4 linked regions of the Kluyveromyces lactis genome follow. The protein of the gene in region 2 purifies or fractionates together with the protein of the main gene of each other region. This does not show direct contact. Links are inferred from orthologs where the notes say so. Each region holds a gene or a part of one and is shown on either strand. Other genes may lie near its edges. The genes, in order: ACT1, EPL1, EAF3 and TRA1.

The links.
Region 1: the proteins of EPL1 (region 2) and ACT1 purify together in Saccharomyces cerevisiae (affinity purification with mass spectrometry; 10 studies listed by BioGRID, with this or other methods). This does not show direct contact. The link is inferred for Kluyveromyces lactis from reciprocal best matches to the Saccharomyces cerevisiae genes EPL1 and ACT1.
Region 3: the proteins of EPL1 (region 2) and EAF3 purify together in Saccharomyces cerevisiae (affinity purification with western blotting; 14 studies listed by BioGRID, with this or other methods). This does not show direct contact. The link is inferred for Kluyveromyces lactis from reciprocal best matches to the Saccharomyces cerevisiae genes EPL1 and EAF3.
Region 4: the proteins of EPL1 (region 2) and TRA1 purify together in Saccharomyces cerevisiae (affinity purification with mass spectrometry; 15 studies listed by BioGRID, with this or other methods). This does not show direct contact. The link is inferred for Kluyveromyces lactis from reciprocal best matches to the Saccharomyces cerevisiae genes EPL1 and TRA1.

What each region holds. Positions count from the first base shown.
Region 1 is NC_006040.1:456,953-465,119, reverse strand, and holds ACT1 (actin), read right to left. Parts: upstream 3,395-8,167; coding exon 3,385-3,394; intron 2,605-3,384; coding exon 1,487-2,604; downstream 1-1,486. Other genes in the region: KLLA0_D05379g (uncharacterized protein), read left to right, coding at 1-920; SND2 (Snd2p), read left to right, coding at 4,149-4,694; Rab family GTPase YPT1, read right to left, coding at 5,010-5,624; PER33 (Per33p), read right to left, coding at 6,382-7,248. UniProt on the Saccharomyces cerevisiae protein: Actins are highly conserved proteins that are involved in various types of cell motility and are ubiquitously expressed in all eukaryotic cells.
Region 2 is NC_006042.1:2,333,293-2,342,047, reverse strand, and holds EPL1 (Epl1p), read left to right. Parts: upstream 1-1,416; coding exon 1,417-3,837; downstream 3,838-8,755. Other genes in the region: BUD27 (prefoldin-like protein), read right to left, coding at 1-662; BST1 (Bst1p), read left to right, coding at 4,167-7,094; alpha-factor pheromone receptor STE2, read right to left, coding at 7,250-8,560.
Region 3 is NC_006041.1:1,189,219-1,196,768, reverse strand, and holds EAF3 (Eaf3p), read left to right. Parts: upstream 1-4,090; coding exon 4,091-5,167; downstream 5,168-7,550. Other genes in the region: DSE1 (Dse1p), read left to right, coding at 1-1,325; casein kinase YCK3, read right to left, coding at 1,867-3,288; KLLA0_E13487g (C2H2-type zinc finger protein), read left to right, coding at 5,462-6,154; SDD4 (Sdd4p), read left to right, coding at 6,242-7,550. UniProt on the Saccharomyces cerevisiae protein: Component of the NuA4 histone acetyltransferase complex which is involved in transcriptional activation of selected genes principally by acetylation of nucleosomal histone H4 and H2A. The NuA4 complex is also involved in DNA repair.
Region 4 is NC_006042.1:2,050,361-2,058,399, reverse strand, and holds the end of TRA1 (histone acetyltransferase TRA1), read left to right. Parts: coding exon 1-7,367; downstream 7,368-8,039. UniProt on the Saccharomyces cerevisiae protein: Essential scaffold subunit of the transcription coactivator SAGA complex. SAGA acts as a general cofactor required for essentially all RNA polymerase II transcription.

The sequences.
Region 1 (8,167 bases), on a different chromosome or scaffold from region 2:
AGTCGCCAAGATGGTTGTATAAGCATGGATATTCCAACAAAGATATAGATCGGTCGCTAGCGATTTTGAGAGTGAAGGATGTTGAGAAACTCAGAGAGAAGTTCGTTAGTGAAACGAAGCAAAAGCCAAAGCTTTCCTATATTATCAAGAAAGGTTACTGGAAACACATGAGTCTCGGTATAATAGTCCAGATATTAATTCAAATCAGTGGTATTAATGTTGTGATGTATTACACTATTTACATATGTGAAATGGTTGGCTTTGATGATGATGTCAGCTCGAAATTAACCGCAGGACCTTATATTGTCAATACGATATTTACCTTAGTCCCTGTCTTTTTATTAGACAAGTTTAATCGCAAAGTATTCATCGGGTGGGCAAGTGTATTTTTAGGTGGTATCATGCTATTGATAGGATTCCTAATTGGTGAAAGGGAAAGGCACGTCGGCGATGTTGTTTTGAGAAATATAGTTGTCGCCTTATGTTTCCTCTTTGTTTCGGTATTCTCTTCATCATTGTCATGCGCTGGCTTTATCTATACTAACGAAATCTTACCAGAATCCATAAAATCCGTGGCCTTATCAGTTTGTATATCGACAAGTTGGTTTACAGGGTTTGCCCTTGCATTAATGGCACCTTATTTAATGCAAATCGTAGAATGGTGGACCTTCGTAATGTTGGGAACATCAACAATAGCCTTAGCTTTCATTATAATTATGTGGTTTCCTGAGACGAGAGATTTGTCACCACACGATATTGACAATCTATTCAAACAAGACGCGCTGTCAGCAGAAGTTGAATATGAAAAGATAGAGTCGGATCAAAGTGCAGATTTTGAAAGTATTCCCGAGAGGTCTGGTGCGCCAGAACCTGACTCATTTGTGTGTACCACTACTACCACTGAAGTGACGGAACGTTGAATTATTAGTTTAGTCTTGTTTATCTATTGTACATATTAAATAATTTACTATTTCATAAACTAAGAATAACTTTCAACACTAAAAATCTTTGTTCTGGAACATATGATGATTTTAAATCCTTTTCAAATTATCAGATGATCAACTTAAGCAATTAGCCTCGCACGAATATTCAATAATTGCCGTATATAACTTTCAATTGGAGTTGTTTAATTTTAATGTTGAATTTGAATTTCGTTCGTATATAATCTCGGCTTATTAACTTATTAACTTTCATACTAAACTACCCACTTCATTTATATGAAGTAGAATATTCCAACAACATAAGATAGAAGATTGGAACTTGAATAATGACTGTGCGATCGAAGATAAATAAAAACAACACACAAAACAAAATTATAAAAACAAAGAAGATTTGGAGTAAAATCGTCCCTATATGAAGTTTTAATAATTGTTAGTTTTTTGTTTCATAAGCTTCAATTTTTGGGTTCATCTATATGAATCGATTCATCGTTTATTTTAATTGTATTCTTTTTATAAGAGTGTCAAGTAAAAAAAAGTGAAGGAGATTAGAAACACTTCAAGTGAACGATGGATGGACCAGATTCGTCGTATTCTTGCTTTGAGATCCACATTTGTTGGAAAGTGGTCAAAGAGGCCAAAATAGAACCACCGATCCAGACAGAGTACTTTCTTTCTGGAGGAGCGATGATCTTGACCTTCATAGAAGAAGGAGCCAAGGCGGTAATTTCCTTTTGCATTCTTTCAGCAATACCTGGGAACATGGTGGTACCACCGGACATGACGATGTTACCGTACAATTCCTTTCTGACATCAACATCACACTTCATGATGGAGTTGTAAGTAGTTTGGTCGATACCAGCAGCTTCCAAACTTAGAACAGATGGATGGAACAAAGCTTCTGGAGCTCTGAATCTTTCGTTACCGATAGTGATAACTTGGCCATCTGGTAATTCGTAAGACTTTTCAACAGCGGATGATTGAGAAGCAGTTTGCATTTCTTGTTCGAAGTCCAAAGCGACGTAACATAGCTTTTCCTTGATGTCACGGACGATTTCTCTTTCAGCGGTAGTAGAGAAAGAGTAACCACGTTCAGCCAAGATCTTCATCAAGTAGTCGGTGATATCTCTACCAGCCAAGTCGATTCTCAAGATAGCGTGAGGCAAGGAGAAACCGGCGTAGATTGGAACAACGTGGGTAACACCGTCACCAGAATCCAACACAATACCAGTGGTTCTACCAGAAGAGTACAAGGACAAAACAGCTTGGATAGAGACGTAGAAGGCTGGAACGTTGAAAGTTTCGAACAAGATTTGAGTCATCTTTTCTCTGTTGTTCTTTGGGTTCATTGGAGCTTCGGTTAACAAAACTGGGTGTTCTTCTGGAGCAACTCTCAATTCGTTGTAGAAGGTGTGATGCCAGATCTTTTCCATATCATCCCAGTTGGTAACGATACCGTGTTCAATTGGGTAACGTAGAGTCAAGATACCTCTCTTGGATTGAGCTTCGTCACCAACGTAAGAGTCTTTTTGACCCATACCGACCATGATACCTTGGTGTCTTGGTCTACCGACGATGGATGGGAAGACGGCTCTTGGAGCGTCGTCACCGGCGAAACCGGCTTTACACATACCAGAACCGTTGTCAATAACTAAAGCAGCGACCTCTGTTTAGAATAAAAAACCATCACGAGTAGCAGAATGCAGATTAAGGAACTAAACCGTACGTTTGGGTAGGTTAGGTGTTCCAAAAAAGTGAATTCAGCCATCCCAAATAGAAAAATAATTGTTAGTAACATAAGATAAGAAAACAAAAGTAACAGGTGCATTTTGGGTGATCATGAGGTTATGTGATTGTTCAACGCTAAAAGTCCTGTCGCGGACAAAATAGGGGCTAACCTTAGCAACCAGAAAAATAAATCAAAAAAAAAATAGGGACAACCGAACCACGAGGGGCAATGCCTGCACCACTTAAAGGTGTACTTTGATTCCTTCTTGGACTGGAAGGAATAACATTGTAATATAAAATCACATCATCACGTGACATCAAATTATCTTTTTTTGCCTATATTTTCCAAATTTCTTTCCAATTCGCCTCCTAAATCAGGTAAAAAAAACCCAAAATCCAAAGTTAGTCACCCAAAACCCAAGAAAAACACGTTATAGTAAGAAGGTAGAACCAGGAAATGAAAGATCCAATTCTCGAACAAAGCTTCTAATCCAAACCCCTATATATAAAAAAAACCCATTCAATTAGCGTTGTACATCTAATTCTAAATCTGATTTAGGGAGTTAGAGAATGGACAATGGCAGCGCAAAGCGCTGCCATTATCCTATCTTTTCCCTCCCAACATTTAACCGGAAACCTAACAAAGTAATAAAACATATCCAAACTTTTTAACCACCCAATTAACCCACCGTAATCAAATATACGTTTCCACACATACCAGAATCCATATTGTTATACTATAGCGCGTGAAGATGTTGTACAATTCCTTTTGCAATCAACAAAAAAACCGTTATTCTGAAACAACCTTTCTTCTCTTTGGATCGTAAAAGACAGTAAAGAAGGAGGAAACAAATCAAGATATTTCTTATTTTTCTTGTAAATTAAATCAAATTTCAAACTCTCTCATACAATAAATCGCACTAGCTGTCCAGAGAAACAGAAGAGAAAATTTCGAAAAAACAAATTAAAAAAAAAAAAAGAATTCTGATGAAAAATAGGAGACGATTGTCATTGTCCACGAGGCGGAGCAGTTGCGGTAATGGTTTTCTAGTGGTTACGTGGGATTCACTGTACAGCTGGAGGGGCGGACTTGCAATTGAAGGCTTTGTGAAGGCTGGAAGTTTGATATAACGTTGGTAGGCTGTCGGTAGAATAGTTATATCGTAGTATATTGTATTCATGAGGCAGTTATCGATCTCTGGATGTTAGTACATCTGGTTTATTTTACAATTCATTATGACCGCATATCGTCTTAATCCTCCGTATATTAATGTGTATATTCAAAATCACGTGACATATATGTACGTTACCCGGATTATAATGACTCGGCAGTTGAAATCTATACGTGAATATATGTTACGTGGATCATCATCAACTATCATTGAAGCAACGGGAAGGTATTAATAGATCAGGTTAATATTCGACAGTACATTTATGTACATCTATCTCTATCTCTGAAGAATCTCACCCACCCATTGTAGAATGGCTGGAAAATCGTCCAAGAAGATTGCTGCAAAGAACGCAGCCATCTTAAAGCAGTTGCACGTACTAGTCGTCGCTATACTATCTTTAACGTTATTGAGGAAATGGTTCAGTAATGGGCTGATTTCAACCCTAAAACCTATTCTTTTCAATGTGCCGATGTTGTTATGTTTATATATTCTCGAACGTACCGGTAGACCAAAATATGAAGTCAGTAACGCTGCGCATGGAAAATATAAACTAGTTAATGAAGGGTTCGATTTGGAATCTGGTGGACTCACTGAATACATGAAAGATATCGTGTATGTTTCCTTGTTCTGTAACCTGGGAACAGTTTTCTTCAACACGATGAAATGGTGGTTCTTGGTATTAGTGTGCCCTGCGTTTATTTTCTACAAGTTGTACTACTTGAAGCAACAGTATTTCCCCGGTGCCTCAGCTTCAAAGGCGGATCTCGCAGAGACAACGCCCGCTGAACCTTCCAAATCAAAGAGACAATTGAAGAGGGAAAAACGTGGTGATAAATCTCAGGTAAGATACCGATAGATTAATGTTAGAGAAGGGGTTGTATATACTATATCCATCATATATCTACGAATACATTCTCTTATATATAGAGAAAGTAAGAAAGAAAGGAATAATGATTGTAATTGAAATTAAGTCTAACTATAATAGGCTCTAAATAGACAACCACCGGCTCTTTCGTTAAAGCTATGTGGGGCAAATGGTGCTTAATGTTGTTTGTGATGTATACGGGATATTAATTCTTCGAAATATGGTAATTATCAGACAGTTCTTAAATTCAGTTCCTGATTTTTCAGACACTTAGTGTATAGTAACATAGCGATGATGCTATCCAATTTAGCAACAACCACCATTGGATCCAGTCAATGATTGGCCCTTTAAGTTGACGTTGGACTTGTCTTCAGCTCTACCATTATCTTTTTGTTGTTTGGCGACACTTTCCTTGATTTGCTTGGTCATGATCAAGAAGGCCTCCTCAACGTTAGAAGAATCTAGTGCACTGGTTTCGATGAATGGAATTCCAATAGAATCTGCGAACTCTTTAGCAACTTCGGTGTCAACCACCTTCTTATCTGTCAAATCGTTCTTGTTACCAACTAGTAACTTCAACACACCAGCTGTACCGAAACGGTCGATTTCTTGCAACCATGTCTTGACGTTGTTGAAGGATTCTTGGTCTGTTACATCGTAAACGATAATTATACCGTGGGCACCACGGTAGTAAGAAGATGTAATAGTTCTGAATCTTTCCTGACCGGCAGTATCCCAAATTTGTAGCTTAACAGTTTTGCCATCTAACTCAACAGTCTTGATCTTGAAATCAACACCGATGGTGGATATATAGTCGTTGGTATAGGTATCATCGGCAAATCTTAACAATAAACAAGATTTACCAACACCGGAATCACCAATCAACAATAATTTGAACAAATAATCGTATTCGGTATTCATTTTTTCTTTGTTTGCTTGTAGTTTATAGCGACTGATACGATTCGACTGTTTGTTAAAAAATATGGGCTCCTTTTGTAAGTTGTGATTGGATGGACTGCGTTGTAAGTTTACAATATTTCTCTATTTTAAACACACCTTTCTGTATCCCTCGTTGTTAATATCTCTCCGTTAAAGAAAATGAGTAAAGGAAGTATAAGATAAAATATGATAACAACCCCAAAATAAAAGTCTATCCTTTAGTTAAGCTTTCAGTAAATATGCAACAGTAACCAGAAAAAAAGCAAGCGTCTTATCAAACCGCATTTGGAATAACTGAAACTATGCTATTGTTGCTTAATAGAATGTATTTCGGTCCAGGTTTCACTGTTTGAATTTTGTTCTCCTGAACGGAAAAGATTCCACAAAAGATTACCATCACGTGACACAGAAATACACAGTGTTGTTGATATAGATCAGTAATGAACCTGTTACACTACACTGAACTATTTCGGACAAGTAATGAAATGGATGAAGACATTACAAAGTTCAGGTAACTGATAGGAATGATTCGTAGTAATCTTTAGGGGAGATGTGAAACTCTACAAAATCTCACAGGATGTAAGATGCGAATGCAAGAATCTTTGCTTGGATGAGTTTTTTCTAAGTTAAGATACATATATATGTATGCATGTGTATATCTAGATGCTCTACTGACTAACTTGCAGGAAGACTCTATGAATGAACTTAAGTTTCGAGTTTCTAACTGGTTCTAGCGTTTTCAAGCAAGGATTCTATCAAAGAAGACTTTAGCCAAATGTTTAATGCCTAACCATTTGTCCATGAACATAGGCAAACGAGTTGAGATGAAGTTTTCAATCATCATTTGGTTCTGGTTACATAGCAACCTCATTTGTTCACTTTGATTGTATCTTAACTTAAAGAATATAGCGTATGCCCAGATTGATAGAAGTGTGAATAAACTCTTGGCATTGAATGTGATAAGCACAGAGATTAACTGTATGGGCAGCATGAGACACACTTTGCACATCGTTACAAGTTCTGACATCACTGCAGCATGGAAGAAAGACCCGTTGAAATTGGTGATGAAATACGAGATTTTATTTGACAATGAACCTTTTAACATGGGGTTCATTGGAATGAATGGCAATACATTCTCTTTGAAATAATTCAATGCATGGAACAAAGAGTATATAACCATAGATGATTCAGTTTGAGTTAAAGTTTTCCCTCCTGATAGAGAACATATCAAAAGAACAATGGAAAGTGTAAAATATTGTAGGTTATCCAACTGTCTGATCTGCTGTTTTAAATTCGACCACTGGAATCTTAACTGTTTTGATTTCACATATTGGTGAAGCACAATCCCATAACTGATCACTGTGTATAGCATGATCTTCCTGTAATTTGTCTTTACACTTTGTTCTCGGAATGAGAGCATATATTGGATATAATAGTATAAGCATAACGTGTGACCAAGGAACCAATAGAACTGAGGCTGTTTCAACTTCGTACGGAACACAGCACTCAGAGGGGCTACAGGTCTCTGAGCAGGCCTGTTGCCTCCATTTTGACCGGCAGCATTGGAATAACGATTACCACTGCCATTGCCACTTCCCTCAGACATCTTCTTGAAAAGAAAACCTTTAAAATGAAACCTTAGTAACTAACTCACGAAAGTTCTTTTGGAGACGAGATAATCAACTGCTATTGAGCCGCTAAGTTAAGAGTTCACAATCAACGATGACAAAAACACCTTGAAAAGCTAAATATGTAAACAGCTTTCGTCTTCAATACACAATCAGTTAATCAATTGATAGCCAAAAATATAAGAAAAAAAAAAAAAAAAGAGACCTGCTAACCTGATCCGATTCGATTCGGTTCGAAATAGAATACCGTAGCTTAATCAAAGTAACCTTCCGATTACTATATACATAAAAATGTAGCACTGGACAGATCAATTCCAACTAGTCAAACCCTCTTTCGCTTCTCCAACTAATAGGTTTCCTTCTCTTAACAAACTGTACTGGACGTTTTTTCCCTCTTTAAATTTCCTAATCCTGAAATCCGTTTCTCTTTAAATTTTCACATCGTCTTTAAATGTCAGCTAGAATCGAAAGTTAGGGAAAATTGCAGTATTCCAGTTTCCGTATGATTCTATCATATACGGAAAGTCAGCTGTGAAGAAAATGATCCGAGAAAATAGTCTGTTCAGTCTTTGGACTCATGGAACACTTCGACAACTATTCTAAATCTTAGGGGAATGTGTTGCTCACTTGCAACCTCAACTCTTGTCTTTAGATGAACTGACACTACGCAGGAATTCACACATCACAGTCACGTGCAAATCACGCGATGTAAGTTTCCGTTTCCCGTATTACCCGCACACTTAGCAACCCACAAAGGGAAATAGACGTGCTCGAAAATTGCCTAAAGAAGTGAAACAAAGATCAAAATACAAACAAAGATATGAGGAAAGAGAAGGAGGAAAAAAATAAACAAATAAAAACAAATAAATAAACAATTTAAAGTGGTTAAATAAGTGA
Region 2 (8,755 bases):
TCTCCTGTCTTATTGCCAGTTTCCGAAGTTCCTGAAGCGGAAGAGCGATCATCATTCTGAATATTGAAGGCAGTCTCTGGTGAAAGACAATTTTGACGTTCCTGACTCAGTGACAATTGTTGTTCATCACTATGGACTTCATTACCTTTGCCCGAATGCACCTTATTGGCGGGCGTCATTGAAGCATGTATCACATTTCCGTCTTCGTCTAATTCTTCTCTGATCTCAAAGAAACCTTCCTGGTCATCATCATTGTTAGAAACATTCGTATCTCCCAAAGATTTTGCACCGTCTCGAAGTAACTCCATGTTTCGCAATGTGCCATGTGCCTCTTTCAGTTTCTCATCAAATTGTGAAATGGCTTCGGCAATTAAGTTCAATCGAACCTTTATAAAAACCAGGCATTCTTCCCTAGATTTCTCCAAATAGTAATCGTAACCTATATTTTGGAAAAACTTACCATTCTGAAATACTACCTCACCATACTGCCATTCTTCTTCCGAATCTTCGCTCGTGTCAGCATCTCTTATCCTATCGAATATCTGTTCATACAACGGCTGCTGTTCCTTTAAGAAGGTTCTTTTGTTTACCAAATTATCTATGGTACCTTTGACAGTATCCATTAACTCGGCAAAAGAAGCCCCACCTTCTGCTGTTTCCATTGCGTTTCACGACTAAGACTGATTTTCTCAGCCTCTTTACCTGCCTCAGATAACTCACTCTTTCAACAAGCGATGAGATGACTTCATTACGGATGTCAAGTTACTGATTTCCGTTTTTTTTTCTTTTTGGTAGAAGCTCATACAATTTTTGGCATCACCATTTACCTTGACCCAATGGAAGTCACGTGAACAGAAATTCCTATTGTCTACCAAGGTGGTTATGGGAGACGTTCATATTTCCGTAGAAGACGTAAAAAATTTTTTTTTCTTTCCATAAGTTCGGATTTCAATATAGAAAAAACCAATACCCCCATTCACCGGACAAACTGTTGCGTTCCACCCAAACAACCAACATAAAAAGGAAAACCACGCGCTTCAGAACAGTCCGGTGGCTCGTTCAAACCTACTGAGAATCAACCATCAGTAGTGATACTTAAGGACTTTCATCAGTTCTGCAAAATCCGTACCAATAGCTGCTATCTTCAGTCCTATTTTAGATTTGGTCTCCTTGTTTTCTGCCTCCTTCACCGCCACCCGATTGCTTGCCAGTGAAGTTTTTCGCAAAATTTGGCCCCGAAAACAGGAAGAAAATAAATTTGGGCCCCCGTAAAAGAACCAATTTTTTAGAGGGATAATTGTAGTTACCCTTCCTTTCATATTTCTCGCTATTGAAATCTGGAATTCAAAGATCCTTCTTTGGCTTCAGCCGCATAGCTATCAGGGTAACTACACACGGGCATTGACACATTGCAGTATGCCAGCTCCTGCAGTGGATTCATCGAGGTTCAGGCACAGAAAGATCAGCGTGAAGCAACGACTTCGGATCTATAAGAGCCATGAAATTAAGGATTTGGAACAAGAAGATGTTTCGGCCATCAGTTCCCAGCATCAACAGCGAGAGCTGATGGAGATTGAAACTGGTGTGGAGAAGAATGAAGAAAAGGAAGAGCATTTATACAAAATTCTTCAATCCAATCAGCTTCGAGAGAACAAGAAGGATCTATTTATTCCAACACCAGACGCCTCGAAAACTTGGGACGAGTTTGACAGATTTTACCAAGGTGAATTCAAATGTCCTACGAGTTATATCCAGTTTTCTGCACAATTAGAAGATTGCTGTGGTACTTTGTATAATATGGATGAAGAAGACGAAATCTTTTTGGCAGATTTAAATAAATCCCTGGCGGATTCGGTCGAACCTCTAACGGAAGATGAGTTTGAATTAATTATGGCCAACTTTGAGTCTTCCATCAAAGATAGGCAACCCTTCCTGTCCATGGATCCCGAGAGTATACTTTCATTTGCAGACCTAAAACCAACCATGTTGAAAAACGATGTTGGTGATTCTGGCGTAAAAAAGGAACTCGCGAAGGAAATTGGGATGCCTGAAGATGAACCATTCTTGACAATGTTTGACAATAAAAGACCTCTAGGTAAAAGGGAAAAAAATATGGAGACTCTTATCGAATTGTTCGGAGAGAAAATACACGATCATTGGAAGCAACGCAAGATATCACGTCATGGTTGCGATATCTTCCCACAATTGAAATCGGAGCGTAATAATGATAAAGACGATAATGATCCATATGTGTGTTTCCGTAGGAGAGAGCTTCGACAACCTAGGAAAACAAGGCGGATAGATGTTCAGAACTCACAAAAATTGCGACTTCTATGCCAACAATTGGAATATACTAAAGATTTGGCACTCACTGTAGCCAAAAGAGAAAGAGCAGTATTAGAAGTCCTAGAAAACGAAAAGTTCGTCTTCCAAGCGCGAGCCCAATTGAAGACAATGAAGAGAAAGTTAGGCATAGATGCCGATAACGAGGATTTGTACTCGGCAAAGAAACAAAAACTCGTGAGTTCGGTGCGTACAATCAAACAACAACAACAACTTCTTCTTCAAAAACAGCTACAGATACAACAGCAGCAACAACAGCAACTACAACAGCAGCAGGCAGCCATTACTTCAGATTCATCTGTTAAACGTGCAAAATCTTCAAAATCGTCGAAACTTCACAAAGAAGACAGTGGTCTATATGCTGATGAGAAAGGAAGCGAGCCAAAGAAGAAAGGCCCAAAAACTGGTTCAAATAAAAACAAAGAACAATCACTGTCATCTGCGCAGGAAATTGGAGCTCAGTCGCCTGTTGCCAATGTCTCGAATGTACAACAACAGCAAAAACAGGCATCTTCTCAAGTATATGTTAAATTGCCTAACTCTAAGATACCTGATATCGTGTTAGAAGATGTCGGTAAATTGTTGCATTCAAAGGAAAAAAGCACAAGGAAATTTGTTGAAGACAGGATGAGAAAAAGGAAACAGGAAGATGGTGACATCTTTTTCAACCTCACTGATGATCCTTACAATCCTGTTTTCAACCTTTCAATACCAGATAACGTCAGCCCCCAAGATGCTCCATTTTCTTCTGTTGCTGGCTCAAAGTTCGAAGTAAAAACATCCTACTATTCACCTAATCTTCAAAATTATATCACTGGCACTGCGAATGATATAAAGGTTTTTAACAAGGAAGGTGAAGCTGTGGAGAACAATGAGTATAAAAAGTTAGAATTTTTCAATCCATTTGATAACGAGATTCATACTCATTCTCGTGAATTTCCAATCGCTTTCAGACGCCGTCGCGGTCGTTTCAATATGGAATATATTGACCAAAGAAAAACTGATCACAATATTAACGACATGTTATTACAATTTATTGATTTGGATGGAATACAGAAGCAAGAACTCGATAATGATGTTATAAATGTGTATGATTCTAAACTGGATGATTTATCCAGGTCATATTATCACTGGAAATATGATTCCAATTACAACATTTACGGGTCCAAGTTTTCCGACGAACCGGCGAAGTTGAACCAAATTTCAAACGATACTCAGGTGGTAAGATTTGGAACCATGTTAGGATCCAAAGCATACGAGCAACTAAGAGATGCCACCATCAAATATAGACAGGAACAAATCAACAAAAGAAAGAAACTGAATTCCCTGCAACAACAGCAAATGCTACAAAAGGGTCAACAGCCCATTAACAATGCTCCTCATTCACAGTCCTCTTCCCCACCATCTCATCAGGACACTAGGAAGAATCCAGGATCAACTCCAAATCAGTCCAGTCCGCCAAAGAAACACGTTACTCCTAACGCTGCTGCATAACGAAATTGTAAACTTTTGATGACACCAAATCCCATTATAAATATGAACTTGTAATTAGTATTTTCCGCATTCTTATGCGAATCTGTAACAATATAGATAATTCATGTTATTAAGCATCGTGAGCTGCATTATACATCACGTGACTGAACTGACTTCAGCTTCTTTTTTTTTTGGTTTACGCATCTAAAATCGGCATCTTGCATCTAACATTATGTACCATTGCAAGCATTGATTGATGAACTATGCCCAGAATAGTGCATTCACTAGGAACACTAAATTTAGAATAATACCTAGGATACTGGTAGTGGTTTACCAAGCCAGTTGTTAAAATGGTCCAAATTGACTTACCGGCTGAGTCTGCTGTTCGCATCAGGTATCCTACATTGACGAAGAAACTAAGGAAAAGAAGCACGCTTGTAATCATAGTGGGCTTGCTTCTGCTATGCATTATTACCTCCACTCATATATCTCATAATTTCAGCGGATCAGATACACCTAAATGCAGATCAATCTATATGTACCCTTCGTACGCCAGAATTGATGGATTTGATTCAAGACACACTAAACTCGCCAAAAAATACCACCTCTACCTATACAGAGAACAAGGTAAAGATAAAGAGCCGAAACATGGTGATGAAATACAGCTTGATGGTATACCTGTCCTTTTTATTCCCGGCAATGCAGGAAGTTTCAAACAAGCTAGATCTATAGCTGCGGCAAGTGCCAATTTATACTTTGACCATAAATCAACTATTCAAAATTCCAATGCAAAGAACATGGATTATTTCACAGCCGATTTCAATGAGGATTTCACTGCCTTTCATGGGCAAACAATGCTGGATCAGGCTGTATACTTGAACGATGCAGTACGATATATCTTGTCAATGTATGCTCAAAGCGCTGCCTATAAGGAATCCAACCGCCCACTACCTAAATCTGTCATTTTATTGGGGCATTCCATGGGAGGAATAGTGGCAAGATTAATGCTTACACTACCGAATCACATACCAGAGTCTGTAAATACCATCCTGACGTTGTCGTCCCCTCATTCAACAGCCCCCGTCACTTTTGATGGTGATATTCTAAAACTTTATGACAGGGTAAACTCATACTGGACCTCAGCCATGAATGATATGGGCAGTTATTTTCGAAACAATGTTTCTGTGATCTCCATAACAGGTGGTATTTTGGATGACATATTGCCTGCCGATTATACAAATCTCCAAGGTATTGTTCCTGAATCAAATGGCTTCACTACATTCACTACTACAATACCGGAGCTATGGACCCCAATTGACCATTTGGCAATAGTGTGGTGTGATCAGTTGAGATATCTTTTGGCAAAATATATTCTCGAAATTGTCAATGATGATGCAGGAGGAAAAACCGCGACTTTAGATATTAGAATGCGCAAAGGAAGAAAGTTTTTCTTGAGTGGACTTGAAAGAATTACTGATGCAGATAAATTGATCGATAAAAACTTAAGCGCCCCAGCCGTAGATTTCAGCGACACAGAAAGTGTCCCTGAGAATCATTTACTTGTCTTAAACTCTTCTGAATCAATGTCCACAGGATATGCCTTCAATATTTCTAAGTCTGTCGACTATAGCTTCGAAATGCTCACATCACTCGTCCAATTCGATATTTTCTTTTGTAAAGACATATATGGAAAGGATTGTATTAACGGATTTTCAAGCTTTTCCAAAGTTCCTCACTCCACAAGTCTACAAAAATTCCCAACTGACTCGTCATGGGGAGAATCGGTGTCTCCTTTTCGCTTTATCTCATTAAATGGCTCTCTATTGCAGGGTTTCCAAATAATAGTTTTCCAGGGCTCAATGAAAAAGAAGGAAGACTTTGTTCTAGCAAAGTATAGCGATGATAAGAGCATTGAAACTGCAAGCGACGGATTGTGGAAACTATCTTTATTCCCTTTTAGAATGTCCTTAAAAAATAAACATTCTTTTGTCCATGGCCTAGCATTCCCAAATTTATGGTCCTCGCTAATCTCCTTCAATTTGAAAACAACTTTCTCTGACGAAATAGATAGCATGTTCAGACCGATGATGAGACAGTATGTTAATAATCCATATGAAACCAAATGGCATTTATTGGCTGCCTCAAGTTCTCATGAAATCAATATGCACAATATATCTCCCTTCATACCACTTGATGATACCATAGACAAGTCATTAAATTTGATGTTCTTCATCCCACCTGGAGAGGAAATTTCTTTAAGACTATCCATAAACTGGAAACTAACATTGAAGATGCTTTATATCAGATTCAGATTAGCTTTTGCATCAATTCCAATATCGATAATTGCTTTAGTCTTATGCTACCAGTTTTACTACTATGACAGCCCTGATAGTAAATTCATCAGCTTTGATACTGGTTTGATGAATGTTTTGAATAATCATAGTCTATTAATATTCCTCTTTTTATCAGTAGGACCGATAGCAATCAATCATAAGGCCATATTGACCTTGCTGCATTACTTAGACCCTATTTCTTTGAGCAAACCAAGTAGCGATTCTCATATGTTGAACAATAACTATATGCTGGGTCTACGTGAAACATTTGTGTGGTGGATTGGACCAGTCTTTTTCATAATCTCTGTCGCATTATTATTCATTATTTTGAGACTCATAAATGTCATCGAATTTGCAGTTATTAAAATTTCCTCAGCAATCACAAGATATACGCGTATCACATTTCCTGATCCTCTTAACGATATGACACATCATAAACTACTTTTTAATAACAGGCAATTACTGGGAGTATGTTTTATTTCTTTGGGAGTCATGGTCTATGTCCCATATCAGTTCGCATTCATCCTTGTAAGCTTAATTCAAATGTGGAACTGCATGAAGCTGGCAGTCTTTACAAACAGGAACAACGCAAAATATTCCAATATACACAACTATAACGTGTCATTCTTAATGCTAACAATATTCATGATACCAATCAATGCTCCAATAGTTGTCGTCTTCTTGCGTAATTTTGCGATTAGGTGGGAGACGGCCTTCAGATCGCATCATAATTTCTTAGCCATAGCACCAACATTGCTTCTAACATTAAGAAATAGTCAGTGCAATATTCCTATAATCAAGAACAGAATGAACTGGCTGATCGTTGTCTCAATTCTAGGATATTTATCCTTTTATTCTTTCATGTACGGCATAAGAAATTTATACTGGGTCTACCACATTTCCAATATCCTTAATGGGGTCTTATTCTTCCTAACAATATTATGAAACTAATCGATAAAGAGTAATTCTAAAGTATAATTAAATGAAATTAAAGAACCAGCAGATACTATGAGCTGCTATATGTATACCTTACTAAAATATATGATTGGTATGATAGAGCTCAACAGAACGTAAAAAACTAGAAACCAGAGACACAGTGTTTATCTTAATTCTTTGAATACGGTTTTCGATTGCATTAAACCGTCATCTTTGTTTTCATGAATTGCATTCACCCAAAATGCCCTTGCCTCTTCATCAGCATCTGTTTCTGAGGTATAGATGTTGGAAGCTTTCAATTGTTTAATCACTGTTGCATCTGTTGATCCTGGAGAAGAAACAAAATCGGACCTTTTTGCTCTATCCATAAAAGATTCGCCAGACTCTAAATCCATCTCCAACTGTGTAGATAGTTCAAGTTCCTTTGAACTACAACCATCCGAAGTTTGTGGTGAGTTACTGAAAGAGTATTTGTCACTAAAGGCTTTACCATAAGAGTAGGATGATGAATCATCACGATTTTGTGCAGAGTAAGGGTTGAATTGGCGATAGAAAGTACTGGCACTTGGTGCATCATTTGCAGCAGCAGCCCAGATAGATGTCAAAGGTAGGGAAAGAACTACAAGCAATGTAGCAATAGAAGTCAACGACTTAACTCCTTTATTGTTCAGCGCGTAGGCGAGAATATACAAAACCGATGGACCTATTAATGTCTGAGTAGACATGATGAGTAGAATGTGAAATGAGTCAAATTGTTTCAAACCTAAATGTCTCCTAGCTCTGAAAGCCAGGAAAAGTTTCACTGATAGAAGAAGAGTGATGAAATTTATTGAACATGCAAGTAAAATAACTGCTATGTTGTAATAATATGTGTCAACTTTGTTCAATGGACTATCATACACTACAATAATAGATTTTATTGCAGTAATCATCCACATGGCTACAGTTGCAGCACCAAAACTAGCGGAGACGCCAGTCAAAATGATTCCTATCTTCCTATATCTATCTGCTTTGAAAATGACTCTTACCTGAAAGACTAACGAGACCTCAATACACGCAACCAATAGACATTGAATTAGAGTCACGGCACCGTAAAGATGTTTGTCACGGTCGCCTATCATCTGTGGGAACAAAGTTAGAGCAAAGGGAACTCCTCCAAAATTGCTCAACAAATATGATAGATATAAAGCAGATTGAACAATTGTAAGAACCAAAGAACTCTGATTTATTATGAATATCGGCGTCTTTCTATTCTTAGAGACCATCCACATTATAATCAACGCTAATCCAGCAGCGCCGATCCTTGTTCCAAAAATAATTGCTTGGGTGATGTTTTCATGGACAAGATTTTGTAGCTGTTGAAATGTTATTTCAGTCCCATCTCCGTAAATTGAACTGTATGTTAGGACGGACTGCAATGGATTATATGTCTCATTGTAGAACAATGGGTTCAAACTGGGTATCTCTTCTGACATGTTAAATAAGTTAATGCTTATTGTCAAAACATTAAGGGTACTTTGACGTAAAAATTTGAAGGATGTCAAATCAACATTGAGTCTCTCAATCTCACCTTGTATCACAGAGAGGTGCCTTTATATAGTCACTTTTGAAGTATGTTCTCTTGACATGAATAAGTTTCATGAAGGAATGAAAAAAAAAAAACCTCAATA
Region 3 (7,550 bases), on a different chromosome or scaffold from region 2:
AGCAGGCTCGCGGTGGGAAATTGCTCCATAGTTTACAAACCATTACTGTTCCAGGAAAATCTATTCTGGCTACAGATATCATGCAATCGCAGAATAATGACACCGTAGTTTCCTTCGATGATAAAGTCCATGACAGAATCTTACTTTCAGGACACTCTGATGGATATGTGAACTTAATTGCAACTTCAATCGAGAATGGGAACGCCAAAATTCTAAGACGTTTCAATCATTCCAAACATTTGAAAGTGATCACCGATAGCATGGATAGTGTTGATCTTGCTACGCAAATTTATAACACAAGTCGTTCAAAACCAATTCGTCATTTGAAGACCTGGAACAAGCATCATTTCACCTCTGTCATTAACGATTCGTTGTTTGTCTATGACGTGAACCAACAGTGCAAAGACCCATTATACTTGAACAGTTTCCCCGGTTTGGAACACGTTGATGTTAACCCAGTCAATCCATTCACATTTTCTCTGACAGGAACGAAATTTGGGCAGTCCGGAATTGCATTGTTGGATCTTCGTTTGGGTGATGGTAACGGAATACGTGTCCCTGGACCTCAGGACAGCAATGCCGAGTCTGGCAAATGTTATACTTCCAAATGGTTAGATGAATATACGGTCGTTAATTCGGTCGGAAAGGCATTGAAGATATGGGATATCAGATATGGGAAGGTTAGAGCACACCTGTTGGGTCATAACGGACATGTCAACAGTCTCGATTACGATAATGAAATGAAGAAAATATATAGTACAGACGATCAAGGCTTAATAATGTCCTGGGATATCAAAGATTTGAAATTCACCGACCAAGTAATGTGTTGCAGACCATCTCATGGTATCCAGAGCTTTGGATTACCAGCGGACTGTGTGCAAAACGGTAACATTATTCAATCTCCAGATCTGGAAAGAATCGGAAACAAGAAACATCTAGGGAGTCATTTCGTCGGCTTAGCAGACTCTCATTTCATATCCTTGCAAGATCAAGAGCTAAGATCGTACTCGGTTGTTGACATGCCAATGGTTTTACCTCCACCAAGGAACCCATTACGTCTACTCGAATCCGTGTCGACCGAAACGAAATCAGAACCTCCAGCTACTATGGTCTACTCCAGTTCAGATGAAACAACCAAGGATAGTAGCAATTCTGCGTTTGAAGATTCTGAGGATACTCTGGAATACGAAGCCCATTCTCCAATGACGCCTGCACTAGATAGCATGTTTGACGGTAAAACCCATTCATTCGATATACCCACAATCCCTCTTCTGTCTGGCATTAGAAGAGGCAGCGATGCCACATTTGTATGCGAAGGCTTATGATACCCGTTCACCTCCCTCAATCACCTTCTGCAATTCATTGAAACCTGTTACCCATGTGGAAATTATATTGCATTGCATTCACTTCAAATTTAACTTACTATCAGCTAATAAATAATTCAATGATTAAATATACTCTTCAAGTGCTTAATTCGTTATTTAAGTTCCTTGAAACTAAATTACAATTTATATTAAAGTAAAGTAAAATATTATGAATATGTATTTCTATTTACATATCTGGATGTTCATGTAATTTGTCAGTTCTCCTCAGCTAAAGCAAGGGTGTAAGTTTGTCTAATAAATGCGAACCGAGCGAGAAAGATCATGGGAATGGGAGAGACACAAAGATATGAAAGGTTCCTTCTTGCCTTGGAAAAAAAATTATAAAAGCAAAACGCTCAGCGTTAAATGTATCCGTGTGTGCCTGTTATTGGAGAACCCAGACGATCAACGCCTTTTCAGCTCTTACAACAGGACAACAAATAGGTAAGGAGGGTTAAATTAACTTATAATACATCTTCTCGTCATGGGCCTAAAAAATGGGCTAGCAAATTCCACAGCACAATTTTGAAAAAAATCCGCCTTCTTCAATGGAATCATTATCGTCATACTCTTCGTTATTCGGAATGCGTCTGCCATGAAGCTTACCCATTGAATCGTACGATTGTATATTGAGGTTCTGTTTCAATGGTACGTTTGGTCCCACAAATCCATTGCCCTGTGACAATCTCACCCTACTGTTCCCCATACTGCTATTAACATTTTTCTTTTGAGACTTATTTGGTGTGCTTTGTGAGAAAGACCTATAGTTACGTGAATCGTGCCTACTATTCTGTTGTTGATGATTTTGTCCCTGTACTTGCCCCGGTGCCTGCTGTTGTGCCTGCTGTTGATGCAATGGTGTAAGCTGTTGAGCAGAATGTTTTGTATTTCTTGGTGTTGGATTACCATACCCATGCAAATTAACTCTTTTGTTGACCTTAATGTTCCAACCTTGACCGCCGTTCAAATCCATCCAATCGTAATGACCATCTTCTTCGTACCCATTTTCTTGCATGATTTGCGTCATCAAGGAGATCAAATAATCATAATCTGGGTCCTGATCGAACCTTAACGATCTACAGTACGATAGATATTCAGCAAACTGTTTTGGTATCTCCGGTGTCAATAAATCCGTTGGTTTTAACCTCTGTTTCGTGAGTCCAATCTTTTCATACTTAGCCTTGTTGTTAAGAGCTTTCAAACCTTGCCATGGTAAGGACCCACGTAAGAAATAGAAGAATACGTGGCCAAGGGACTCCAAGTCATCTCTTCTCGATTGCTCTCTACCGAAATGGGTGTTTATCGACATGTACCGCGCAGTCCCGCTCAAAGATTTACGCTCTCTATATGGTATATGTTGTTTTGTGTTTGGGTCCCTAAACTGCTTTGCCATTCCGAAATCAACCACGTATATTAGGTTTGCGTCACCACCACTGCTTGTGGCACACGACTTAACCACTGACCCATCCGATAACTCCCGTTGAAACTCAGATATCAAAAAGTTATCCGGCTTAATGTCCCGATATATCAAATCATGCTCGTGAATAGAACGTACTCTATCAATCATCTGTTTCGCCAACATTGCTGTCGTCTTTACGGAAAATTTTCGACTACACCATTCAAATAAATCTTCTAACGACGGACCCAACAAATCGATGATCAAAATGTTATGAATCCCCTCTTGACTGAAATAATACGCATGAGGAATTCCTCTCACATCATTCAATATCCTATATGCGCGAAACTCATCCCGTAACTGTGGTGAGTCAGACCGTCTGGGTTCAAACTTTATAGCAACAGGGTTCTTCGACCCACCATTTAGAATGTTTTCACCTTCAAAGATTATTCCAAACGAACCTTCCCCAATCTTAGGACCAACAGCATAGTGAATTCCTACCACATGCTGGGACGAACGTTTAGACATTGCAAAAGCACCGACTCTGGGTTTTATCAAGTCCTATCGGGAAACAAAAAAATACAATACTAGGAAATGTGGGAAACCTTTCCTTTCTCTCTTGCTTCGAATAAAATAGTTCAGTAGCCACCACTCAAATAACGTCTCATCGACTCAGAATACCAATACAGATGTTTGTCCGCGTGTAAAAGATCGTCCTTGCCAGTCAGAACCGTTGTGGTTTGCTTCTTTGGTCACTGTGATAAAAGGCTGTTTCTTTCAAATTTGTTTTTGTTTCATCAACTTTTTTTTTTCTTTACTTTGGCATTAAAGGTCAGAACAGCATTATTAGGAGAGCTTTGCAGACCTTGTGTGATGGTAAGAGGTGGATATGCGACGTGATTAGTGGCGTTGTGGTGCTGGAATTGGTGTTGAAGGGTGGCCAAGACTTTATGAATTGATACTAGTTTGACTCTAGTGCTTTGAGGCAATACTTGGAGATATCAGGTCACTTCCAATGTCATATCATATCACGTGAGTTGTCACGTGATCAGAATTTCCCACTTCCTTCTTCTTGGAAAGTACTGCATTCCTTCCAAGTAGCTGCGGTTTATATACCATTACTATCAAGTGCTCACCTAGTGTTATCTACTGTTTCTATACTGTCCGTTTTCCCATGTTTCTTCACGTAAAATTCAAATGCCAAATCTTACGTTAAAGCTACCATCTAGCACTTTCACGAAACAGAAGTTACACATAGTATTTGAACCTGCTACGCTGGTCTTTCTCCAAAATTTAATTGTCCCAGGGGAACTTTCAGTAGCTGTTGATCATGGCAATTGTTCTAGATGGGAAATGTTTGTGTTATCACGGACCTTTGCTCTATGAAGCCAAAGTATTACGAGTTTACGATGAAAAGAATCAGACTATTACATCAAAGGACTACAAAGACGTGAGTATTGACGATGAAAAAGTAGAATTTGATCGTCCGCCGGAACATATGAGACAGGGCCAATGCTATTTTGTGCATTACCAGGGCTGGAAGTCGAGTTGGGACGAATGGGTTGGTTTAGACCGAATCAGACCGTATAACGATGAGAATTTGGAATTGAAGAAGTCGTTGGTGGAAAAGGCTCGAGAGTTGAAGAACAATGGTGGGAAGAAGAAATCAGGATCACGGCCTGTTGGCAGGCCTAGTAAGGTTGAGAAGGGCAAAAAGGCGGCCAGCCGTACCTCAAATAGTGGCAGTGGTACTAATACTTCGGCAAGTTCGACTTCCGCTTCTAATCCAGCCTCATCTTCATCTTCTGGTACAACAGCAGCAGCTTCCAGCTCTGACAAATCCGACCGTAAGAAGGCAACCCCAGTACTAAACAAAAGATCACACCCTAAGATACACATAAAAGTCCCTATCTCGCTTCGTTCTGTGCTTGTAGACGACTGGGAAAACGTCACAAAAGACAGAAAGCTAGTACAACTACCCAGCGAACGGCCAATCGAACATATCTTGTCCCAGTTCTATGCAGATACTAGCAATTCGACCTCCTCAGTGGTAGAACAAGCTCAACTCTCAGAATTTCTGCAGGGAATAAAACTCTACTTCAACTTATCCCTGGGGAAATTACTCTTGTACCGTCTAGAAAGAATCCAATATGCAGAACTACTGAAAGCACACTCGGAGAAACAGTACACTGAAATTTACGGAATTATCCATCTACTAAGACTAGTCACTTTACTCCCCGAAATGATGGAATCAAGCAACGTCGATGACCAAACTGCCAAGATCCTAGTGAAACAGTGCGACATTTTACTCGAATGGATCGCCATAAACATCGCGAGGAAAAACTTCCCAGTAGATCCCTACATAAACACGTCCTCCCAATACGAGGGGGTCGCACTAAGCATGTAATATATCTCTACCACATCTCCAGACCCCACCACATACACCGTTATATATATATATATCCCCCAAAACCCTTTTTTCGGGGACCCCAGAAATATTATTTCCGGGCCGTGATTATAAGCGATCAACATCTGAAAAACAGTTTCGATTCGACCGTACTCATCATAGCATAACAATCACAAGACATCATAAATATACTGTTCGTTATCCTTAAATCATCAGCTGTCGGAGCCTCGGAGTAAGCAGTGTACTTCAGTATCTATTGATATATTTACGCTGTACAGCAGACGGTGGTAGAAAATGATGGGTTCTGAGAGTAAGGAAGCGTCGGAGGAAAAAGTAGGCGGCAGATACGTTTGTCCTCATCCAGATTGTGAGAAGACCTTCTCACGGTATGAGCATTTACAGAGGCATAAGCTTAACCACTGGCCGAAGCAGATATTTCGGTGTGAATATGTTTATCCTGACGATGGGATAGTTTGCAACCGGACTTTCGTTCGGAAGGATTTGTTGGTGAGACATCAGAGACGTCACACGAATAACGGTGTTCGAATGCAGATGAAGGTGAGAAGAGAATCTGGCAAAGAAAGAGCGGCGGGTGGGTCTAAAGCAGCGGCACCGCAGCTGCCGGATACGGCGAGTGTCGCTGGTGTTGGACAGCAGCCACAACAGCAGAAAAAGGTGGATCATATCGTACTTGATGTGGGGGATAAAAAGCACAATAAGGCGAGCTCGGGTAGCGGACATGCGGTTGGCCATGACAGTAACTCTTTGCCCAATAGCAGTAGTACGACAAGTAGTAGTAATACTAGTCTGAATGCTGGGTTTAACGCAATGGGGCCAGCATCAAACGGTAACTTGAACAGTTTCTTCAACTGGTTGTTCGCCGGTGGTGTAACTCAGGATGCTACGCCTCAACAGAATAGTAGGTTGGATCAGCCATCTGATGCAGTGCCACCAACTGCGAAGTTGGAAGATCCATCAATTTTGTGACCGCCTCTGTCACAATCCCACGTTCAGCCACAGTACCAACGTCAGCAGCAGCATATTGATAATATTCCCTTGGACCAAAAAGCACACATGGTTCCGCCTCAACAACAGAGTTATGATCCTGAACTTAACACAGGCCTCAATACCAATCCAGGATTAACAAATATCGTGGATGATTTATTCTCGGTGGATTTCTTACCAACAGATCCGTTACAAACCTTGGTGCAGCAGATGTCTTACAATGATATCATCCCTCAACAATCGGGAGAAAGTGTCGCTACCCCATCTAATGCAGGCTCTGTTACTTCATCCATCGACTCGGTTCCAAATAGATCTCCAAAATTTAAAGATGTTGGAAAGGAGAACATTAAGGACAATTTACTGGCACAGAAGTCGAAAGTCGGAGAGTTAAAATCGCAACTGAAACGGTCAGCAACAGTTTCTACCGTTGAATCGGATTCTCACAGACTATCAAAAAAGCAGAGGTCTAAGCTGATATCCAGGCCGTCATTTTTCAATATAGACCCTAACTCGAAGTTCAAACTATCGTTGGAAAGACAAGGTACATTAGCACTGCTAATCGCGGACGTGAAATATATTATGTTAAACAAATTACAAACTGCATTGAAGTCATACTGGTTGAATTTCCATCCACAATATCCAATTTTGCATAAACCGTCATTTGACATTGAGAAAGAGCCTCCAATTCTTATTCTTAGTATGATTATGACCGGTGCTTCCTATCTGGGATCTGCCACTCGTCGTACGATAAGTGATGTTATTGCAGGACCATTACGTTGGTTGATATTTTCGCATGAAGATTTCCAACCACCATCGGAGACTTATATTATTCAGTCACTTTTATTGCTTGAGTGTTATGAAAAGACCAGTACAAATAGATATTTGCATGAAAGAAGTTATTTGCATCATGGTACCACAATTCAATTACTTCGTAGAACTCCTTCCTTGGGAGGGCATCCGTTACGTGTCAAGAAGGAACAATCACCATCGAATTACGAATCAATGGAAGTGATATACAAAAATTGGATCGATTTTGAGACTTTGAAAAGAACAGCATTATACGCCTTTTACATTGACACAACTCACGCAGTTGTGTTCGGATACACATACCTATTTATTCACTGTAATCAAGTGAGGATTTCGTTGCCATGTTCGGACGAGATTTGGGACAGCTACGATTTATCGCTCGACAAATTATTGCAACATGGATTTGGAAGCAAGGATATAAGCTTCCTTGACGCGTTGAAAGAGCTTTTGAACCATGTGATGCATCAGTTGCAAAGATCGAATAACACAAACAGTTGGACCAAGTTGAAAACGAGCAAATTTGGCAATAAATTGCTACTATCTGGGTTGATATCTATCATGTTCCAATTGC
Region 4 (8,039 bases), about 290 kb from region 2:
GCGAATTAAGCAATCCGACTGAGATAGTAAGGAATGTTTGCCAGGAATGTTTGGGAAAGATATCTACGCTGACCAAAATCCCGGTGGTTACTTTAATGAACCATGCCAAAAACTTTCTACTTTCCCCAATCTTTGCTAAACCCTTGAGAGCATTACCGTTTTCGATGCAAATTGGTAATGTAGACGCCGTGATATATTGTTTACGTCTTCAAAACTCTTTTTTGAAATTCGATGAGGAGCTATTCCGTCTTTTACACGAATCAATTGCCTTAGTGGATGCCGACGACATATCACTAGCCAGCACCCAACGAATTACCGAATACCAAACATCCCAACAGTTAATCAAGTTAAGAGTTGTGTGTATCAGGTTACTTGCACAAGCCTTATTGAACCCAGAATTCGCTAACGCGCAGAATGGATCTATAAGAATAAAGGTACTAGCCGTATTCTTCAAAACCATGTTAAAACCTTCTCCAGAGATTATTGAAGCGACGTATGAGGGGCTGAAAATAGTTTTAGCAGAAAATTCTAAATTACCTAAGGAGCTATTGCAAAATGGGTTGAAACCAATGTTGATGAATCTATCTGACCATCAGAAACTAACCGTACCCGGGTTGGAGGCACTAGCAAAACTCTTGGAGCTCCTTATCGCGTACTTCAAAGTGGAAATCGGTAAAAAGTTATCCGATCACTTAGATGCATGGTGCCAAATCGAGGTTTTGGATACTCTTTTCGGAAAGGAAATCACTCAGCAAACGCCGACTAAGATCATCTGCAGTATTTTCAACATTTTTCACTTACTTCCTCCTCAAGCGGGAATCTTTTTGAATGAGTTAGTCTTTAAGCTTATTTCTCTGGAACGTAAGTTAAGGTTACAACTAGACTCTCCGTTCCGTGTACCTTTAGCAAAGTACCTCAATAGGTTCCACGTGCAGGTACTGACCTACTTCAAAACTAATATGAGATCAAGACAATTAGTACTTCTTATGTGTTCTATAATACAAAAGAAAGAAGCTCCTGTTTTGAGAAAGGCTTTCGAACCGCAGCTAAGGGAATTCTTGAAATTCTACGTCGAAAAAATCCCAGAGAACCCTGTTCGCGTAGTAAGCTTTTTTGCAAACTCAATTGATTTGGTATATGTTTACCACACTTCGAATGAAGAGAGTTGGATACTGGAGAACTCAGATATCTTATTTGAGTTAAAATCAATGTTAACAACTGTTCTAAAACTTATCAATGAAAATTCATTTAATATTGATATACTTCAATTGAATCAAAGTATTGAAAAATTCCAAATGATTTATTTGGCCTACTTGAAACAGAAAAAATATGATGTACCTCTTTTCTTAGAAATGATCCAGTATTCGTATGATAATGATCTCAAAATCCCAAATGAAGTGAATAGCTTTATCTTTGATGATATTATCAGCTGTGTCGACGTTCAGTTAAAAAGAAAATATATTTTAGAATGTTTGCAGTTTTCTCTCCGAGAAGAACGTTCTCTAAAAGCTAGGAACTTCGTCATTAAAAGAGTGGTGAATTCCATTATGATTCATGAAAGCACCACTAAGAACTCTGTGGATGAATTGATAAGTCCGGATAACGAAATTTTCGCATTTCTTAACCAGCATATATGGAATCCGAAAAGTTCTTCTGTTGTGTTAAATACAGTGATAGGAAAGCTTGATTCCATTCGATTTGAGTTATTGCAGCTCACTTCAATATTGTTAAAATACGCTCCTACGTTGCTTGAACCGGTAAAAAGGGATCTGATCAAGTTTGCATGGAAATTCATAAAGTTAGAAGACATTCAGTTGAAACAGGCTGCTTATGTAACGACGTCATTGTTCATCTCAAAATTCGATCTACCAGTCAACATAGTAACCCAAGTTTTTGTTGCAATACTCAGAGTCCATCAAATTGAAGCAAGGTTTATGGTAAAGGAATCATTAGACTTATTAGCACCAGTAGTAGCAGATAGATCAAAGGGTTCCGAAGAGCCAACTACGTGGGTTAATTGGGTAAGAAGGGTAATATTAGAAAGTAACTTCCAACAAAATACCATCCTCTATCAATTCTTAATAAGTCAAAAGGACATATTTTTCCCTTACAAAGATATGTTCATTCCAAACATCATATCATACATTGGTAGATTAACCCTTTTAACCAACCCTTCTACCGAAAATCAGACGCTAACCATTGATCTTTGTGATCTAGTTATGTACTGGGAAAAACAAACCTTTTCGGCTCAAAGCAAGGATGACCCCGATGTCAATATGGACGGTTCTGAAGGAATAGTTACCTCTTCTTCTACCTCTCTTTCACAACGGGAAGCATTTGCGGCGTTTTTGATTCGTTTCATTTGTGTTAGTAACCATAGGGCCTGTGAAACGCCATTGGGATCAAAGGCATTATCTGTTTTAACTGAGTTACTATCCATCGGATACCTGCCAGAGGCAGTTGTCAAATTGTCCTATTTCGAAAAATTCTTGATCCAGCAAGATCTTGAATCAGCCAACTTGTTGTATTACTGTATGAATGCTTTAGATGTATTGGATATCATTTTTAGAACAAAAGACCCCAAATGGATCATCAATAATCTAAAAACAATCCAAACCCTTTTGGATAAATGTCTTCACGCCAACCACCATGACTTGCAAGAAGCTTTACAAAAGGTATTAAGCACTGTATTAACAGCTGTCAAAGACGATGATGTTCCGTTTGAGAGTGAAGAAGATACGGATAGTAAAGTGTTTGTGAACCTGGTTAGTTCCATCATATCTGAGAATTTGAATGGAACAACTTCTGTTGCCGCAGGTGTAATTTTGTGCTGGACACTCTTTGTTAATATTCCCTCACAGATCGATGTTTTATTGCCCTTATTGATGAAAACTTTCAACAAACTCTGTAAGGATCATTTAACCATCTCCCAGCCAAAAGACGCCACCGCTGTCGAAGATGCTCGTATAACCACGAAACTTTTGAAGAAAGTTTTCTATATACTTTCTTTCAAAGTATCTACCCTTGGGGATTCCAGAAGGCCGTTTTTGTCTACAGTCGCTTTGTTAATCGATCGTTCTATGGATCAGAATTTCTTGCAGAAGATTGTTCTCATCGCTAAAAATTGGGTTTTCACCAATGAAATATTCCCTACTGTTAAAGAAAAGGCGGCAATATTGACAAAGATGCTTGCATTTGAAATTCGTGGAGAACCTCACCTTTCTAAGCAGTTTTATGAAATAATATTGCAGTTGTTTGAGAATAAAAAATACAACAACAGTGAAATTACCGTGAGAATGGAACAACCATTTTTGGTTGGAACCCGCATTTCTGATATAAAATTAAGGTCGAAATTAATGAACATCTTAAATGGCAGTTTGGATAATGACATAAAAGAAAGGCTTTATTACGTTGTTAGAGATCAAAACTGGGAATTTGTGGCCGATTATATGTGGTTAAGTCAAGCTTGCCAGTTACTTTTCGGAGCATGTGTCATGGAACATAGAATTAAACTCACTGAGCACTTCCCACTATCTCCACTAAGCGCTATTGAACGTAATATTATTGTTGAAGACGAAGATAAGGTTATCACTAATTCCGCTTTGGAGTCTTTGATTAGAGAGCATCAATCGTTCATTGACAAAATAAACTCTATTAAATGCTGTGACATAATTAACCCATTAGTTGATATATTCTATCAGAGTCCAGAAGCCGTTCGCGCAACCTGGGTAAATGTGTTCCCTGTTGCTTATAAATCGATACCGAGGAATGAAAAGTACGGCTTTGTAAGATCATTGGTCGCTCTTCTATCTAAAGATTATCATACCAAACAGGCGTCAATACATGTTAATGTCATAAGTACAATGTTAGAATCGGTAAGCAAAATTGAATCGTTAGAACTTCCACCTCATCTAGTAAGATATTTGGGAATTACGTTCAATGCATGGTATCAATCAATCGACTTACTTGAACAGATTCAAGAAACATCCAATATCGATAATAGTAAAATTCTAGATACAAACGAAGATGCTTTGCTTGAGTTATACTCGAGTATACAAGAAGACGATATGTTCTATGGATTATGGAGAAGAAAGGCAAAGTACACAGAATCTAGCATAGCTTTATCGTATGAACAAATCGGTTTATGGGATAAAGCACAGCAAATGTATGAAGCTGCTCAAGTCAAGGCCAGAGGCGGCTTTTTGCCCTATTCTGAGTCAGAATATGAACTATGGGAAGATAACTGGATCCTTTGTGCCAGTAAATTGCAGCACTGGGATATCCTCACCGAGTTAGCAAAACACGAAGGATTCACAGATTTATTGTTAGAATGTGGATGGAGAGTTGCAGAATGGAATGCCGACCGTGAAGCGTTAGAGCATTCTGTAAAGAGTGTTATGGATGTACCAACTCCAAGAAGGCAGATATTCGAAACGTTCCTAGCTTTACAGCAGTTTGGGGAAACCAAAAAGGGAGATCAAGAAGTCAGACGTCTCTGCGATGAAGGTATTCAACTAAGCTTAAAAAAATGGCACTCCTTACCAAAACGCTACACCCCAGCACATAAGGCATTATTGCATTCATTCCAACAGTACATGGAGTTCTTAGAAGCCACTCAAATATATGCTAATTTAGCCAGCACTACGGTGCAAAATCTAGACACAAAAGCACAAGAAATTAAACGTGTTTTACAGGCTTGGAGAGACAGACTACCTAATATTTGGGATGATATTACTATTTGGGACGATTTGGTCACCTGGAGACAACACGTTTTCAATGTTATCAATAGTGCGTATCTGCCATTGGTACCAGCACTACAGCAAGCTAACAGCAATAGTAATATTAACACACATGCTTACCGAGGTTACCATGAAATTGCGTGGGTGATAAATCGCTTTGCTCATGTAGCTCGAAGACACAACATGCCTGATGTTTGTATCAGTCAGTTGGCCAGAATTTACACTTTGCCAAACATAGAAATTCAAGAAGCCTTCCTCAAACTTCGTGAACAAGCTAAATGTCATTATCAAAATATGAATGAACTAACAACTGGTCTCGATGTTATTAGCAACACTAATTTAGTCTACTTTGGAACTGTTCAAAAGGCTGAGTTTTTCACATTGAAAGGAATGTTCCTCTCCAAGCTTCGTGCCCATGATGAAGCCAATCAAGCCTTCGCAACTGCTGTTCAGATTGATTTGAATCTCGCAAAAGCATGGGCTCAATGGGGTTTCTTTAATGATCGCAGACTCTCTGAAGAGCCAAAGAACATCAGTTTTGCTAGTAATGCTATGAGCTGTTACCTCCAAGCTGCTGGCTTGTATAAGAATTCAAAAACAAGAAAGTTACTTTCTAGAATTTTGTGGCTACTAGGGAGAGACGACTCTTCTAACTCACTAGCTTACGCATTTGACTCATTCCGTGGTGAGATACCTGTTTGGTATTGGATTACATTCATTCCTCAACTGTTAACTGCTCTTTCTCATAAAGAGGCCTTTTTAGTCCGCAAAATATTGATCCGTATTGCTAAAAGTTATCCTCAAGCATTACACTTCCAGTTAAGGACAACAAAAGAAGATTTCGCTGTAATACAGAGACAGAGCTTAGCTTTGGCAAGAACTCAGGGAGAACCTGCGGAAACAGAGAATCAAGAGAACTCCAAGCATCCATCTCCAGACAATTCAAGAACAACTTCACAAAACAAATCCCAAGATCAAGATATGTATCCTAACAATCGACAACCCTGGGAATATCTCGAAGAATTGAATGGTATTTTGAAGACAGCATATCCATTACTCGCTCTGTCATTAGAATCACTTGTCGACCAAATCAACCAAAAGTTCAAAACTAATCCAGATGAGGATTTATTCCGGTTGATTAATGTTCTATTGATTGATGGTACATACAACTACAACAGATTGCCTTATCCAAGAGAGAAGCCTCCTTTACCCTCAAGCACGGAGGCTAATTTGATCAGATTCTCAGAGAATTTGTTACCACCAAACATTCGTGTTAAATTTAACGCTGATTTTATTGAGAGTAAACCAGACTTCGAAGTTTACATCAAGAGACTACGTTTCTGGCGTAACAGACTTGAGAATAAACTTGATAGAGCTCCAAAGGTAGAGAGTATGGAGGCAATTTGTCCAAACTTGAGCAATTTCCACCATCAGAAGTTTGAAGATATAAAAGTTCCGGGACAATATCTATTGAACAAAGACAATAACACACATTTTGTCAAAATCGGCAGGTTTATGCCAGAAGTCGACTTCACACGCGGCACTCATACATCCCACCGAAGATTAACGATAAGGGGGCACGATGGTTCTTTACATTCATTCGCAGTACAATATCCAGCCGTGCGTCATTCTAGGCGAGAGGAAAGAATGTTCCAATTATACAGACTATTGAATGAGAGATTGCGTAAAAATGTTCAGACTAGACGTCGTGATATTCAATTCACTGTACCAATCGCTGTTCCACTATCTCCTCAAGTACGTGTTATGAGTGACAGTGCGTCTTTCAGAACATTGCATCAAATTTATGACGAATTCTGTGCCAAGAAGAACATGGATAGGGACGCTATTCAAGACTTTATCACTGAACAACTTAACGTTGCACATGACAAAGTATTGCCCCCTCCCGACATAACCGCAGTGAAAGTTGAAATTTTCAGTTCAATTCATTCGTTGTTCATTCCATCGACTTTATTGAAAGACTACTATTCCAAATTATTCTCAGAGTTCGAAGATTTTTGGTTATTCCGTAAACAGTTTGCTTCCCAGTATGCGGCGTTCGTGTTCATGACCTTTATGCTATCCATTAATAATAGATCTCCACATAAGATATTTGTCGATGAGAAATCAGGTAATGTTCATACTTTAGAAATGTTACCATCTCGTTATTCTTATGAAAGAGTGAATCAATATGCAAAACAATTTGAGACTAACTTGCCAAACTCCGCTCCTGTTTTCCATAATAATGAACCTGTTCCATTTAGAATGACACCAAATATCCAAAAGCTTATCGGTGATTCCGCGATGGAAGGTGTATTCTCTGTTGGATTATTTGTAATTGCCAGGGCATTGCTGGAGCCAGATCATGAATTGAACACCTATCTATCTCTATTCATCCGTGATGAAGTTATTTCATGGTACAGTAGCATGAACCGTTCTATTGTTGAAGATCCTCACTTATATGCCATTGTTCTGACGAACGTTGACTTGATTATAAGAAAGGTGGCCCAATTTGGACATATGAGTTCTTCTCCAAGTGTAGCAACTCAGTATGTGTTAGATGCTATCAGTGCTGCTGTGAGTCCTAGAAATTTGGCGAAGTGTGATCAAAGTTTCATGGCATGGTTATGAGATGAACAGTTCATGATGATATTATATCCGATGTAAAATTAAATTTGTATACTAGTTAAAAAAAAATGTAAAAATAATGTATCGATATTACTAACATGATTCAATCATTACTCTACAGGTTTTCACAAGTTAATTGCATTTTTAGTCAAGATTTCCTTCCAATATACCCTTGTTATGATCGTTATAATGGCCATATTTTTCTGTTAACTGGGTACTAAGAGGAGGTTTTTCAGGGGACTCCTTCTTGAGCCACATGACGGCTTTTGCCCAATCTAGATTCAGCCTTTGGTACAAAAGATAAATTAAAACTATGCAAAAAAGCTCAAATATGGATGTAACAAAACCAGCAGTACTTGTGAGTGCCATTCTTTCTGTCACATCAACTGTGGCGGATCCTTGAGATAGCCAAAATTTGATACCATGAACATACCCTCCACTGTAATATAAAAAATTCCAAGTGCAAATCATTGATAAAAAGAAAGTTGAAACACCCACCACTGCTATCACTGCCAAGCTGTAAAATTTGGGTCTTGTGTACCAAATGCGTTTAACCAAATAATGAGAGAATAGACAAACAATTAGACTATACCCACTCAGCCAAACAAGAACCGGTGACCCATTTTTCAAAACCGTGGTCGGAAACGAAAACACAAATGCCATAACGCCCACATA